3 linked regions of the Caenorhabditis elegans genome follow. The protein of the gene in region 1 interacts with the protein of each later gene in a pairwise test. Each region holds a gene or a part of one and is shown in the gene's direction. Other genes may lie near its edges.

Region 1 (4,815 bases):
ACCGGCGTAAAGTGTCTAAAAATCGAATTTCAGGTGTTCCAGTTCATAACTCCACTGCAAAGATAATAATAATTGAGAATGCAAGTATCTGTTGAGCAGGTCAAGTTTCTAATGCATCCAGGTCCTTCCGAGTACAATATTGAGTTATTGCCTGTAAAACAAAGGAGGTGTTGTAGAATTTTTAACTATTCTTTTAAAACATAGGAGCAATGTTTTGAAGAATAGTCTCAAATTTCACCACACCGCCTTTAAATACATGTACAAACCAAACAAAATCCAACTCACTCCACGTATAAAAAATACTTCGGATATCCGGACACGTGCAAGAATCTGAACAACCGTGTTCGGCAAAGAAAATCATGGCCACGACAGACACAAAAACCACAAGGCTTCTCATTTTGCGAGAAGTGTGAGGGATCTGGTGCAGTTTCTGGTCTTTTATTAGCAAATTACATGCAAATTTTGTGGACTGGCATGCAAATTACATGCAAATGAGACTTCCACATATCAGGCAGGTCTTATGCCACGACGTGTAGGAACATCCAGAGAGTTCCGGCCGTGTCGTTGTGATCCGCTGTGATCGGCTCTCGATTGTTGTAGCGGACACGTGAAAGTTTTTTGCTTACGGTGCCAGATTTCCGAAGATGCTGATGTGAACATAACCCAAATATAAATTGTATGCGTGAAAAATTAAAGAAATAAACTCGTCAGTGTGAAATGGGGAGTTACAATTTTTAAAAAAATTCAACAAAATTTAAAATTTGCTAGTCTTCGTATTTGAACTTGTAATCAAATCTGGCTTTTGAACTGATAATGTGACCATTTTATTTTATTATATACTTATGGTTTTAACTATTCTTACTAAATTTAGCAAAAAGATACGACTTCCGGCATATAGTGCCCTAAAAAATAAATTAGAGCAGAAGTAGCGAGGCATCCAAATATGAATATTGTCAGAGACATTATGTTTATTTTTAAAAAAAAGTATTATAATTACGCGTTGCTTTGTTATACATATGTAGTAAAGAACGAGAAATTCAATTGTGTAGCTCAAACTTCCAGGTTGTTGTAGCATGTTCTCTGAAAATCTCAGTTCAACTAACTTCACTCAAACTTTCAACCAAACCTTCAAGTTCTCCAACTGATATCGGTCAGCCATCTGCATTTTCTTCTTCAGCGTCATCTTAGAACCTCCTGTTCTGATCAAGAAATCCTCGCAGTTCTTGGTGACCATCTTCGAATCGTACATATCCACAATGTGGAGAACTCCTCCCACTGTTTCATCTGGAAAAATAATCACGTTGACGTTCGCGAATGAAGTTCGTCTAGGCTAAAAATCAAAACTGTGATAGCCTGGTGGTGGCCGTAGAGAACTTCTAAGAAGTTCTGGAAGTCGTTGGGATCGATAGAGTTGAGAGTGACTTCGAGGCTTTTTCCTTCTTCGAAGTCGCCAAGAAGCAGGGCTTTGAAGTAGTTGGACTGGGCAGCGAGGTACTGAAAATAGTCTAAAGTCAGAGCCTAAAGTAGACTTGACTCACCGTTTTAAGCACGTAAAACTTAACATCCTTCACCACCAGCACAACATCCGAAAACTCCTTCATAGATTCATCAAAGTTGCGGAGCTTCTCCTTCTTCTCGAACCCACTAGTGTCGAGGATGTGCGCGCAAACTTCAACAACCAAACAATCCTCAACTACAAGCTCCTTCACCAATTTCTCCCATGGAAAACAAAATCCGAAGCCGTATTTCTGTCTCTCGCCGCCCAGCAAGCAAACTTCTGAGCTTTGCGATATGCTTTCACCAGTGGGTCTCATCAACTTGGTACTGAATTGTATGTGTACAGATTGGTCAGTTGTACGTGAGGCTAGAAAACTGAAGAATACATGTAGTTGGGTTCCTTCGCGCGCAAGCTTGATCCTCCTGGAAGTTGGTGAGTTGGAGAACTGTGGTAAAGTGTAAAGGATATTTCGGAAACCCTACAGTAACCCGACAGAGCCACTAAACTAACCAGGGGAATCCAAAATACTGCTCTTCTGGAGTTAGACGGACTTCTTCTTTTTCAAAGTGGAAATATTTTTCACTTTTTGAGTCATCACAAATTCTTTCGAGAAAGAACTCATTTTTCTAGATAATTAACTGGATAAATGGAGAAAATCAAATATTGCGATAAAATGAAGAGGCTGAGAATGGTCCCAACGCGCTATCTGAGAAAATTATGATGTGAGAAACCAGAGACATCGACGCTGCCCTGCTACCGCAAATTGGATCGATTCTATCCAAATAGCGCCTCTAGCGAACCGAATCATTGTTGGATTCATTTATTTCATTGTTTTTTCTTGCAACTGAATTACTATGTCCTCTCTGACCAAACAATTCGTGATCACCCAATCCGTCAAAAATGTCTCGAGCATCGCAGACGGAGGTGAGCACGTCACCCCATCGGAAATTCATTATGGTACTGAGTGGTAAGTGATTCAATATTTTCGTTCAGATTTTCATATTAAAGCTGGAGTAGCGCCAGTGCGGATTTTGTCTAAATGCACTTATAATAATACAAAACAACCGAATATCATAATAAAACAGTCCAAAAAATTTTAGATTTTTCATAATTTCCGGTCAAAGTTTTGGCAAATTGGCAAAATTTTTAAAAATACGAGTTTTTGAGGAAATCTAAAGCAATGTTGCATGTTTCGACCCCTACAATGTTTTAGTACAAACATTTTAAACAAAATTAAACATAAAAAATGTCGAAAAAAAATATTTTTTGGTTGACTTCCAAAATTATGAGTGGCAAAAACAGAGTAATTGCCACTTTTTGACAGTTAATAAAATATTTTCAAAAAATTTTTGAAAAGTGTTATCATGATATTTGGTCATTTTGGGGCCAAAGGAGCGGTTTTTAACAATTTCCTCACTGGAGCTACTCCACCTTTAAAGATCTACTCTACTCTCTAACCTTTGTGTGTTTCAGGTACATGCGGATCAAACGGGATAACGGATTCATGAGTTTCGGATTGTATTGTCCAATGACTGGAAAAACTACCAATTGGTCAATTGTAGCTGATATCAGGGTCGAACTAATGCCGTTAACTGGAATGTGGAAATCAGTAGAATGCGAGTGCAAAATAGCCAAATCACCCAGCCTCATCAGTGAAGTATTGCGGTCGACCATAATGCCTTGGGGCAGAATGATGACAAATTACGTAGTTGATGATGCTCTCATGATTGAAGTTTTTGTGACAATCAAATCCATGACTGGATTCGAAAGACCGTATAACCTCCGAAGCTTCGACGAATCAATGGAAGAGTTTTCCGACGTGGTTCTTCTGGTTGGGGAGAAGAAGTTTTATGTTCTCAGAAAAGTGAGGCTTTTTTCTTCAGTTGTACAAGCTGATACATTTTAAAAATTTCAGTACCTCGCTGCCCAGTCCAAGTACTTCAAGGCTCTTCTTCTTGGCTCCTTCGAAGAAGGGAAGAGCTCCGAAGTCACCCTCACTAGCATCGATCCTAATGACTTTCAGTTCTTCCTGGAAGTTCTCTACGGGGATTCAGCTATTAATGGTGAACAAAAAACATTCGAATTGACCTAAAATAAAATAAACATTTTTAGATCTAACCGTGGAGGGCATTCTTCATATTGCAGACATGTATGACACACCGATGGTCGTTCGAAAGTGTGAGGAGTTTTTGATTAAAGGGACAAAGTTGCCGGCGAAGAAGAAGTTGCAGATGGCTTTTAGGTACAAAATGGAGAACTTTATGGTATTGTTTTTTGGTAACATACAACGAAAAGTATTCAATTTTTTCAGAGAAACTACTACGCTGAACTAGGAAATTGACATTCTACAGTTCTATTGTTTCTAAATCCCATTGGAATTTTTTTTGTTAAATTTAATTTTTGAACCTGAATAAATGAAAATATCGTATTTAATTTCTCATATTTGCACGTGGTGATATTTAGGCTGTCCCATTACGGTCTGATCTACAAAAAATGCAGGATTTTTTTTGCGAAAAAAATGTGACTACATCTCGAAATGTGTATTAAAACTTATCTTATCCGCAGGAGAAGCTAGAAAGGACCTGAGAAAGCAAAATATCTGCAACTAGCGTGCCAACGACAAATGTTTTGCCTTGCTTCAGCGGGTCTGCCGTGTCGCACAGGTTGATATTTTCAAAGTTTAACATAATTTTATGTTCTCTAGAAAATTGTGAATAAAACCTGTGTGCTTTAGCTATATTTAGAAAGTTCTATCAAATTTTATAGGCGCGAGAAGTTGTCACCATAATTATCCCTATATACCAATCTGGACTTCCTTGTGATTATACATATGATGTTTATATACAATAGGATATGTGCAATACATAAGAAGAGTAATATAGGAAGTGGGGTAACATAAACGTCGGGAGCGGAGCAGTAGGGCGACACACCACAGTGGCATGTGGGCCCCTGCACTTAAGGGCGGGCCGCCGTGGAAGTAAATGAAGAAGGAAGATAGGCATGCCTGATAGGAGGATTGTTATCGTGTTCTTCCACAATATCTACTTGGCTCACAGCATCAAAGTAACTATAGTTTTAGAACATCGTTTTAACTATTCAGAGTTTTCAGTTGCTGTTCATAATTCGGAATATATTTCTTTTGAATAACTGTAATCGTTTTCAACCAATAATAGTTTTTTAACTTCTGAGAAGCATTGAATATTCCATTAAACTTGCCATAGCGAATTTCAGGTTTTGAAGCTCAAATACTTGACTATATTTTCATTATACCTCTCCTTATCACAAGACTTTTGCAGGTCGTTTCTGAGTGCCTCGGA
Region 2 (5,766 bases), on another chromosome or scaffold:
CCGTAATATCCGATATCCGATGTTGCTCGGCTAATAAGTTTTAAGGTCTCGGTAAGGAAAACTTGTAGAATTTTTCTAGATTTTATCATATTAAAATGTTGCTTAATAGTTACTCTTTGATTTGGTTACATTTCTTCCAGAATAACTACATCAATACTTATTGATAAATTCATTATTAGAAAATATCCGAAAAAAATATCCGCCCACCTCAGAAACTCTACTCCCCAAAATAAAAATTTGCAGAGTCCGCGTGGAACAAATGAAAGGAGCCGATGCAAAAGCACTGGAAACAATGGTGAAAAAGTACGCAGACAACTCGGCAGCCGACTCACTGGTTGCTGGTCAAATGGACTTGACACCTCTTGTCGATAAGAAACAAATGGAATGTTTGAATGAATCTGATGATACTCCACTGGGACGTTTTCTCGAAGGAAACTGCAATCTGGTTTCAGATTGTGATGAGCAATTGATCATCTCACTTCCATTTAATCAACCAGTCAAAGTTCATTCAATTCTTATTAAAGGAGTATCGGATCGTGCTCCAAAGAAGGTCAAAGTGTTCATTAATCTTCCGAAAACTACGGATTTCGATAATGCAACAGCTCTGGAGCCAACTCAAATGTTGGAATTTGATGAATCTTCTATTCAAGGGCACGGACAAGTCGTCGCGTTGAAATATGTCAAGTTCCAGAATGTTCAGAATATTCAATTTTTCATTGAGAATAATGTCGGTGGAGGAGATGTAAGTTTCGATAAAAATTACTTTGAAAACATTTAAATTTACTAAAATTTTACCCAAAACTATTGATTATGCTTTTATTTATTTATTTAATAAACGTATTAAATAAATAAAGAAAGATAATTAAAGATTTTCAGTAAAATCACGAAAACTCGCTTTATTAATGAACGAATTTCGTGAAGAAACTTCTCAGACATTATTGAAAAAAAAAAATTGAAATTTAGCTAAAATTAGCAAATTTTTTTTCGAAATTTTAAACCGCCATTTAAAAAATATTGAAAAATTGTTTTTAATATAAAATGTATTCCGGCGAAATTTCGGATTTTAACAATATTTTGGTTTTTTTTCCGATATTATTTTAGTTTTTGAGCTGCAAAACAATTTTTCGGATTTTTTTTGGAAGTCTCATTATGAAAATCGCCGATTTTCTGTAAATATTAATTTTCGGAAAACTGCCGATTTGCCAATTTGCCAGAAATTTTTAAATCTGACAATTTGCCGATTCGTCGTAAATTTTCATTTTCGGCAAATTGCCGATTTGCCGGAAATTTTTAGAGGGATTATTTATAAGACGGAAAAACTTAAAACTATGCCTTTTTGAAATTTTTTCCCCATTTTCTTTAGATATTTTCATAGAATTTGCCTACTTTTCAAAATAAATGTAGAAATATTCATAGGATGCGTACAATTTTGCCGATTGAAATTTAAATTCTGAAATTTCCAAAAAAAAAAATTTGCAAAACCGCAATTTGCCGTTTTTCCGGCAAATTCGACATTTGCCAATTTGCCGGAAAAATCGTTTGCCGCCCACCCCTGGTTCAGAGCAAAATTATTATAATTTTCCAATTTCCTCCAATTTTTTCCTTTTTTCCAGGTCACTGAGCTCGTCAAGCTTACAGTCTTCGGAACACCTCTGTCTGCTCTCAACATGAACGAATTCAAAAGAGTCGCCGGAAAAGCTGGAGATGCAGCTCATTGAGCCCATCAATCCTTCTTCCTATCAACTGATTGTGAGCCAACGAGTTATCCAATTCATTTCTCTAATTGTCATGTACCAAAAACCATACTTTCGCTGATCCCAGTTTCCATATTTTCCTTATTTATTTCTCGATTTGTGTATCATTTTTATTTTAATTTTAATTTTAAATTTAAATTTATTTTTTTTTCTCAGCATAAACACATTTCTCCAAGCTATCCTATTCAATTTTTAACTCGAAAAATGTTTCATTTCATCTAGATATTTCTAATTTAATTTAAAAAAAAGAAAAAATCTGAAATTTTCAGATGGACGTTGACCGGCTCATGCGTGACCTATCGGTCGAGCAACTGGAGAATATTCAGCAGAATTTGGAGTAAGAGAAGCGGGAATTCGAGAAAATTCGAAACAAAAGCTTCTCCTCGTGGAGTACACGAGGGCTGCGTAAATCGACACGTGGATGTGTTGAAGAAATTTTTGTAAAATGAGGAATCGGAAAAATTTGCTGAAAAAAATTAATTTTTTAAAACAAAAATTAATTGAAAATTAGAAATTTTTAATGTTTTCTGGTGAAAATTGGCTGAAAAAGTATTTTTTTTTCTCACAAAATTTTATTTAAAAAATAGAAATTTCAATTTTTTTCGCGAGAAAAATATTTGCAAATTGAAATTTCAAAAAGTTCAGAAAAATCAACAATTTCCAAAAAAAAAGTGATAATTTTCAATAAAGGGCTATAATCTTCGAAAAAGCTAAGAAAAAAGCAAAACTAAGAAATTTTAATGTTTTCTCGGGAAAATTGGCTGAAAATAAGATTTTTCGGGATTTTTTAAACAGAGTGTTATTTAAAAAATAGAAAATTCAATTTTTTCATGAGAAACAATTTTTTTTTAAATTTTCACATCAAAATTTCAAAATATTCATTTAAAATTGAAGTGCAAAAAGCGTATAATGTTTCCAAAAAAAGGTATTATTTCCAAAAAAAAAATCAAAATCGCTGATTTTCAGAAACTAATTTTTTATAAAGTCGAAAAATCGGTAAATTCCAAAAAAAAAACACGATAATCTCCAAAAAAATCCTTAGTTTTCAAAAAAAACAGTGATAATTTCCAATAAAATGCTATAATTTTCAAAAAAAAAACGATAGGTTTCAGAAAATTCAATAATATATTGAGAAAGTCAAAAAATCGTAAAAATTCCACAATTTCCAGCAAAGAAAGCTATAAGTTTAAAAAAACGATAATTTTCAGAAAAATCGATAATTTTCGAAAAAAAAACATTTTTTTCAGAAAAGAAATGGAAGGAAAACGAGAAAGTCTCCGTGAAATGGTCGGCCGTCGGTATCGAGATGTTCTAGAAGCTTCTTCAGAAGTTCGTCACGTGTGCTCTTTGGCTGATAAATTGGCCTCAGATATTGCAAATACAAGAGTTGGATATCAATCCACTCATGTTAGGTTGGAAATATTTCGCAAAATTTGAGTAAAAACTCGGAAAAAATACGGCAAAAAATTCTATTCAAAAAATTGGAAAAAATTGAATTTTTCCAAATTTTTAAAATGGTTTTTTTGAGAAAATTTCGCAAAAAAAACTAATTAGGAAAATTTAATTTAATTTTTCATTTTCAGACATTTTACCCCGAAAAAAATTGCTGAGACCCTAAAATTTGTCTAAAAATCGATTTTCTAGCAAAAAATTAGACTTTTGCGGAAAATATTTAATGCTAAATTATCGATTTTCAGACAAATTTTAAATTTTCAGCCGTTTTTTTAACAGAAAAAAAATGACTGAAAACACGAAAAATATGTTTAAAAGCAAATAATAATAATAATAATAATAAATTAATAAAAACCAATAAATATAGCCGAAAAAACGCTCAAATGCCGAAATTAGATTGCGCGGGAATTCAAAAACCATTAATAAACAAAATTCTTCAATTCCAGAATTATTTTCAATTTTAAGATCCGAAAATCGTTAGAAAAATATATATTCTACTTCGAAAAAAAAAATCAAAAGTTATAAATCAAAAACTCAATTTATTCGGATTTGTTTTCAAATTTTTAACCTAGATAAATTCAAATATTTATCACATTTTTGCACGGTTTTCCAAACAATTCTGTAAATTTCAGAGCAAAAAATTTGAAAAAAAAAATAAAATTTTGAATTTCCAGAACCGGAGGACGAGAGGAACAGAAAGCGGGAGAACATCTCTATGCGGTGAACTATTTGGTTTCAAGTATTGGAGGAGATAGTATGGGCTTTTTTTTTTGAAATTAAAAATTGATTTCAACTTAATTAATTCAAAAATGTCAGCGAATTTTAGCGATTTTTACTGAAAAAATTTTTAAAATCATGAAAATTGAGTAGTTTTACCCGTAAAACAAATTGAAATGCTATCAAATTTCATTTTTAAAAAATGTATTTTTTCCAGGCGGTGAGCCACTGGACGATGTAGTTGCTCTTTGCATGGTGGAGCATCTTCAGAAGCAGCTCATCAGTAATCATTCGTCGCCAATGGTCAGTTTAAATAAATATTGTTGGTAGCTGCGCTAAAAAATTGGATTTTGAAATTTTCGAAAAAAAAAACAATTTAAAAAAATCTTAAAATTAATTTTGGTCAGATTTTTTCTAGATATTTTTGACAGTAAATTGTTGAACAATTGGGAGAAATTTCAGGTTTTTCGAGGAGAACCGAAAAATGGAAATTTATTTTTTTTAACTTAAAAAATAAATTTTTTTCCCGATTTTTTGAAGAAATTCATATGTTTTTGTACTTTATTTTAATAGAAATGAGCACGATTTGATGAAAAATCTAGGGCTTCCATCCCGGCGCCTTCGCCGGCCGGTGAGGCGCCTCAAACAGCCTCACGTCGCCACTATCGCCGTCATTGAAAAAAAAACGTAAAATTTTATTTTCATTTCTTGTTTTTTTTCTAAAATTTCAACAAATTATTAAAAATGAAAATATAGAATTCACGTCAAAATTTTTTAAAGCGGCGAAGGCGAAAGCCGGCCGGCGTGATGCCGGCGTGAGGCGCCGACGCCGCGCCGCTCTCACATGGAAGCCTTAGAAAAATCGAAAAAATATTTCATTTTTTCGATATTTTTCAACTAAAATCGAAACATCCGAAAAGAATTTATCAGAAAATTAACTATAAAATTCGATTTTTTATCTCATTTTGTTTATATTATTGAGAAAAAACTTCCAAAAAGAAGAAAGTGATCACAATTTTAAGCTGATTTTTGACAAATCGAAAAAAATCGAAAAACGAACATTTTTTGCTTTCCAGAAATCGAAAAATCGAAGAAATATTGTTTTTCAATTTTATTTGTCAAAAAATCGAAAAACTGACACCTTTACATACAAGTTTACATACAAGTTTACATACTTTACATACATACAGGCATTTTTCGATTTTTTCGCGTTTTTCGCGTTTTCCGCTTTTTCGGTGTTTTTCATGCAAAATAGAAAAATCGAAAAATCTGAAAAAAAATTGTTTCAGAAATTTAACCATAAAATACGATTTTTTAAAAAATCTAATTTTGCTTATATTGATAAGAAAAAACATAAAAAAATGTTCTAAAAAGAAGAATAATGGCCAAAATATTAAGCTAATTTTTGAATAATCGAAAATTTTTTTTTTGAAAAAACGAAATTTTTCGATTTTTCAATTTTCAAAAAATCGAAAAACCGATACCCTTGCTTTTAAAATGAAAAAAAAAACAGTGATCAACATTTTAAGCAGATTTTTAAAAAATTGAAAAAAAAATTCGAAATATCGGAAAATCGACAAGCAAAAAATTTTCGATTTTCCAGATATCGAAAAATCAAAAAAAAAACCGTCTTTCGAATTTATTTTTAAAAAAATCGAAAACCTTTTCTTATAAAATCAGGTTTTAATCTAAATTTCAATTTTTCCGATTTCAGATTCACAAAAACGCGAGAGCCCTGACCAACCGGATCGTCGCCACCCGATCAGAGCTCGAATTCCAGAATTGCTCAACACTTTTGGATATTTCTCGTTCCGACTGGGCTACAAATCAACTTGCTGCAATT
Region 3 (5,339 bases), on another chromosome or scaffold:
GAGATTATCCAAAAATTTAAATATGCATATGCCACAATGTCACAACTTTTCCAAAAAATTTCCATAAATTCCAACGTGCATTCCAGTGTTCCGTGTTCCTCTTCCATCAATTTCCGAGATCAAAAGATATATGAAAAGCTCTTTCTCTCTCTCACGGCTTCTGACTCCTCTCACCACTAAACTCGATAATCTCCGAACCACGTGTCGGGCTATAAAATAGTTGAATACTTCGAGTTGCAATAGAATTTGCTTGATTTTCGCTTGTTTTTCGATTCTTAAAGTTTGAACATTAAGTGGGAATCAGGATTTTTTTGGAGGGTCAAATTTCTTCAATTTCCATGTTTGCTGATCAAGCTTCTCATTGATGTTTGAGAAAATGAACATTTCTCTTTTTAGAATTTTCCAGTCTTGAACTTTCATGTGAGACCTAATTTATTTAGTTTTTGAGGTACGGTCATGAAAACTCAGGCTCATAGGTTTTTTAGGATTTGGAATCAAATGGCATCAGCAGAATTCTTCTAAAAAATTCAGACGTGCCCACATGCATAAATTTAGGGGGTGGCGTATAGAACTTGTACGCACTGTATGATTCTGATACATTTTTGCGGTTTTAGACTCAAACTATATGTCCAACAATTATTGAAAATCGTTGATGTTTTCAGAGCTTCAATATTTTCTAAGAAATATTAATAATTTCTTACTCTAAACCTAACTCCGCATTTTCTCCCTCCTTCCCCTACCCACTCACATTCCTAGAACCCTTCTTTGTTTGGTTTCAAAGTGAGAAAAAAAGCGCGAAGAAGAATAAGAGGAGACAAAAACCCTAGGTATTTCTACTTTTCACTCCATTTTACTCAAAACTGCTCCTAGGACGTCATCTTCTTTTTTCCACCAGTCTTCTTTTTTTCTAACACTCATCATTTTGCACTTCATGTTGAGCAGTAGTCGTGAGAATTTTCAAGTTTTCCCGAGCAGCTTTTCCTGAGAAATTGCATGCAGGTGCAGTGGTTTGAGTTGTGTTTTGTAAATGTGTTGTGAATGTAGGTAGGTGTCAATGAGGAAATTGTTGTATGAACTTGAAAAATCAAGTTTTGAAATTAGCTGGCAAAATGAAAAAAATTTTGAGAAGCTGAAATTTTTGGTTTTTGATATTTAAAAATACAAAGTTATTTTCTAAACTTTGAGAGAATACATTTTCAGTTTTAATGCCCAAAATGAACTAGGTTATCACAAAAAATTTAACCAGCCATAACTGACTCTAAATTTTGATGAGAAATAATTTTAATTTACATTTTCGCAGTGTTCAAAGCTCGTAAAGTAGCTCCAAATTTTGATCATATGCTTAAAAAAAAGATAACTTTTTGAAAAAAAATTGCAAATCTTTAGGCGATGAAACTGTTTACCCGTTTTTAAAAAAATAAAATTATATCTGTACTCAATTACTACAAAAAAAATTTTACCAAAAATCGTCATGAAACAATTTCCTCCATGACTTAAAAAGCACAAGCACAAAAGTTCTTATTTTTAAGTTTAAAGCTTAGTTCATGATTCTTAGGTACTCGAGAAAGACGGAAAAAGAGGGGACAAGGACCTCTTAGCTTCCCGCGTCTCCTAAAAAAGCATTGATCATCTTCTGGACGGCATCGTGGGCAATAACAAAACAACATCTTTCCCGTCGTTCCACAACACAGAGCTACACACAGACGATGTCATCTTCAGCTGGAGACGAAGAAGATGCGTCGCTTTTCCAGAGGCTTGTCAAAAAATTTCGTTCGTATTTTTTCCAACTATTTTGCTCCTACATATTTGTCCACAAAATATACAAAACAAAACTCTTCGAAATTTTCGTTGTGAAGTGTAGAGAGCTAAGCAACTAGGAAGTAGAAAACCAGCACAAAAAAAGAAGAAGCGTCTCTACACAATATTTTCATTTCCATCCTTCAGCTTTCTTATTCAATTTTATCTTCAGCAGTACCCACCAGGCCCCGCCTATTTCGGCATGCCTCCACTCTTTTTATTCCTTTCCCAAATGTTCTTCTTTTTTTTTCAATTTTCAGTGACACTCTTGAGTTGAAATACTTGAAAAAAAAATGTGGAAAATTGTGGTTTGAACCGGAAGTCTTATCTTTCTTTGCCCTTTTCCACGTTTTTGCTAATAAAATTGAATCTCAAATTGCAGAACTCTCTTATCACATTTTCTGCTCCACATCAAAGAGAGTGTCTCCAACAAAGATGACAGGGCACTGGAGCTACTGCGATGATGATGAGTGTGGTAAGTTGACTCAAATTAGCTGTTTTTTGAACTCAAAACTTAACTGAGTGTCTCGAAAATTAGTTATGCTCAGTAGCATTTATCTACTCAGTAAAAGGAATAAATGATCAAAAATTAAATTATATTGATAATTTCACCCTATAACATGGACTGCTACATATAAACATTTTCAGTTCAGTAATAACTCTGTGAAACTGAGAAGTATTAGAATGTCCAAATTCGCAAAAACACGTGGTTTCAGAGTGCCCAATATTGGTTTGATCTTCGAAAAATGCGGGAGAACGGATGCAGACTTTTCAACTGATTTTGCATGGTTAAGAGTGTGCTGACGTCACACTTTCCTGGCGGAAAAACTCCCGCATTTTTTATAGATCAAACCGCAACGAGACAGTCTGACACCACGTGCAAAGAAAAACATAACGATTGAGTTATTTCTCGAAAAAAGTATTGTATTAATAACAAATGGTATTAAATTTAATTCCAGGACCCAATCGCTGGCCCACTGGACAGCATCAATCCCCAATCAACATTGATTTGGGAGAGGTTGAACGTAAGGATACCCATGATGGAATCAAGTTTGTCAATTATGATCATCCTATTCAAGGAGATATTGTGAACAATGGACATTCTGGTAACTAATTTTTCAAAATAACTCAGCTTAACTTTACTTATTCCAGTTCAAATGACCCCGGAGCTGCGATCGGAACACCCAGAAATCTACGGCGGCGGCCTTGATCAGGTCTACCGCCTCGTGCAATACCACTTCCATTGGGGAGAGAATGACAACGAGGGATCCGAGCACACGCTGGGTGGGCTCCGCTATCCGGCCGAGCTTCATCTCGTCCACCAGGGAGTTGAAGACCCCGGCAAGCTAGCCGTTGTTGGTGTTTTTCTTCAACTTGGAAAAGAGGGAAAGGCGTTGTCGAATGAGGAGCGTGTTTTGGGAAAACTTTGCAATCCGGAGACAGTGACTCGTGTGGAGAATGTTAGGCTTTCCGAGAAGCTGCCAGCAAACAAGAGGTCGTTCTGGAGGTAAGATCAAGGAATCTTAGCTGAATATTCTTATACTAAATTGAATCGGAACAGGGAAACCTTTTAAAGGTTTTGCGTGACTGATGTCAGCTATTAATATGATTATTTGATCTCAACATAGTTTATCCAACCTGAAATATATAATGAAGCCAGAGATCAAATGCTCAAATCTCACACTTTTCAATTACTCCTGATTCATAGTCACATTTGAAGTCAGTGCCTGAACAGTTTATGCAGGTGCAATAGCATAATATTTCAGACGATCTAACAAACATATTTCCAGTCGCATTCATTGTTTGATTTTCAGATACGAAGGATCTCTCACCACCCCGCCATGCTCGGAAATCGTCACCTGGACCATCTTCACCGAGCCAGTCACCGTCACCCACGATCAACTTGAGTTGTTCCGTCAGGTCCAGGACATCGAGAAGCGTCCCATCAAGAAAAACTACCGTCCGACTCAAAATTTGAATGATCGCAAAATCGTTCACATTGTAGCTAATTAGAATTTTCCCAGAAAAAAGTTTTTTTTTCATTTTTCAAATTTAATACCGATACAAAAATGCCAAACAAAAACTTCATGGTCCCAAGCAACTTTTGTCAAAAATCCCCGTTTTCCTCTGATTTCAACACTTCAAGCCAGCCCGATGTCTATTTTTCTTATGTAGTAATTCGCAATTTCTGCCAAATCATTGCAATATTCTAGTTACTCTGACACGAAACCCATGGGTTCCCACTCCACCTACAATTCCAACTTTGTTAACAACATTGAATAAATTTTTAGAATTTTTTGTTCATCAATTTTTCAATAAAAAGTGTGGGGTGTGACGTCACGAAGAGGAAGTAGTTGTGTTGTGCAAAATAGGGTCGTATGAGCTCAAGGGGTGACGGAACGAAATGGAATTTTGGAAAGATGTGTTATCGGTTTTTTCAGGGAGGGGTTTAATTAGTTTTTTGTCACTTTTTCATTTTGCAGGCTTTTTTTCTGTGGAAAAAAACAAACAAGTTACAGAGAAAAAAGGGTATTTCAAAATAAAATATTAAAATGTTGCAACATTTCGCTTTTAAATAACGGATGATGAGAAAAGGCTGAATTTTTGTTTTTGCTGCTCAGATCAAACCACTGCGTCTCGGCGTATAAAAGCGTCCGTTTTGCCAAAAATAATTTTTTAACACAGTGAAGCTTTTCAGTAAGGTGTCGAAACTATCACATTTGAAAACCATTGTTTGAGGAAATGTATAAAAACTACGTTGAATTCATATTTTTTACGAAACAAATTTCTATTTTTTTCAAATCTGTGAAGAATTTAGTTCAGAGGTTAACGTTTTATTAAACTGTTTTTTAAGAACTTAACAATTTTTCAGCGTTTACATGCCAAAAACAGTTTAAAAAAACACAAAAACCACATATGAAATGCATTACGTGGTGCCAGACTGTTCCATTACGGTTTGATCTACAAAAATTGCGGGAATTTTTTGCCCAAAAAATGTGACATCAGCACGCTCTTAACCATGCAAAATCAGTCGAGAAGTCTGCGTCTCTTTTCCAGCATTTCTCGAAGATCTACGTAGAACAAACCAAAATGGGACACTTTGACACAACGTGATGCCCCACTTCTATTTGGGCTGGGGTCTGTTTTGACCTGAGATTCCCTGTTACAGTCCGTGTGTGGCTACAGTTTGACATAGGAACTTCTGCAAATCTAGATAAAGTTTTTTTTTCAAGTTTGAACGAAATGCTCAATTTCTTCAGTCAAGACGCAGCTTTTGCTATTGTGAAAAGTGTTAGCCTCATTGCTACCCAACCAACAAAAATCTACAAAATCATTCACCAGTAATCCTTTCTAAAATACTTGAACTCAACACAGACTCTTTCCAATTTGATGTTAGTCCATGTTCGACTTTACGTGATAACTTTTTTTTCCAAAAAGCGAGTGTTTATAAATTTTCCAAAAGTTTTTTTTAACAATGAGACTGTGGGATGCCCTGAACGTTCTAAAATTGATCAAAGATCAAATACCTCAACTGTGGCTTT

Evidence for each region. Proteins that work in one complex are often made in the same cells at the same time.
Region 2: the proteins of sdz-18 (region 1) and cogc-1 interact in a two-hybrid assay, tested with the Caenorhabditis elegans proteins (one large-scale study listed by BioGRID).
Region 3: the proteins of sdz-18 (region 1) and cah-3 interact in a two-hybrid assay, tested with the Caenorhabditis elegans proteins (one large-scale study listed by BioGRID).

Annotation. Positions count from the first base shown.
Region 1 is NC_003280.10:1,704,014-1,708,828, reverse strand, and holds sdz-18 (BTB domain-containing protein), read left to right. Parts: upstream 1-2,343; 5' UTR 2,344-2,352; coding exon 2,353-2,465; intron 2,466-2,971; coding exon 2,972-3,362; intron 3,363-3,413; coding exon 3,414-3,561; intron 3,562-3,610; coding exon 3,611-3,762; intron 3,763-3,809; coding exon 3,810-3,839; 3' UTR 3,840-3,923; downstream 3,924-4,815.
Region 2 is NC_003279.8:3,231,368-3,237,133, forward strand, and holds the start of cogc-1 (Conserved oligomeric Golgi complex subunit 1), read left to right. Parts: upstream 1-2,023; coding exon 2,024-2,091; intron 2,092-3,001; coding exon 3,002-3,166; intron 3,167-3,880; coding exon 3,881-3,960; intron 3,961-4,140; coding exon 4,141-4,226; intron 4,227-5,637; coding exon 5,638-5,766. Other genes in the region: txl-1 (Thioredoxin-like protein), read left to right, coding at 244-742, 1,614-1,718.
Region 3 is NC_003284.9:16,485,302-16,490,640, forward strand, and holds cah-3 (Putative carbonic anhydrase 3), read left to right. Parts: upstream 1-2,179; 5' UTR 2,180-2,232; coding exon 2,233-2,272; intron 2,273-2,756; coding exon 2,757-2,903; intron 2,904-2,949; coding exon 2,950-3,304; intron 3,305-3,611; coding exon 3,612-3,810; 3' UTR 3,811-4,096; downstream 4,097-5,339. UniProt on the Caenorhabditis elegans protein: Reversible hydration of carbon dioxide.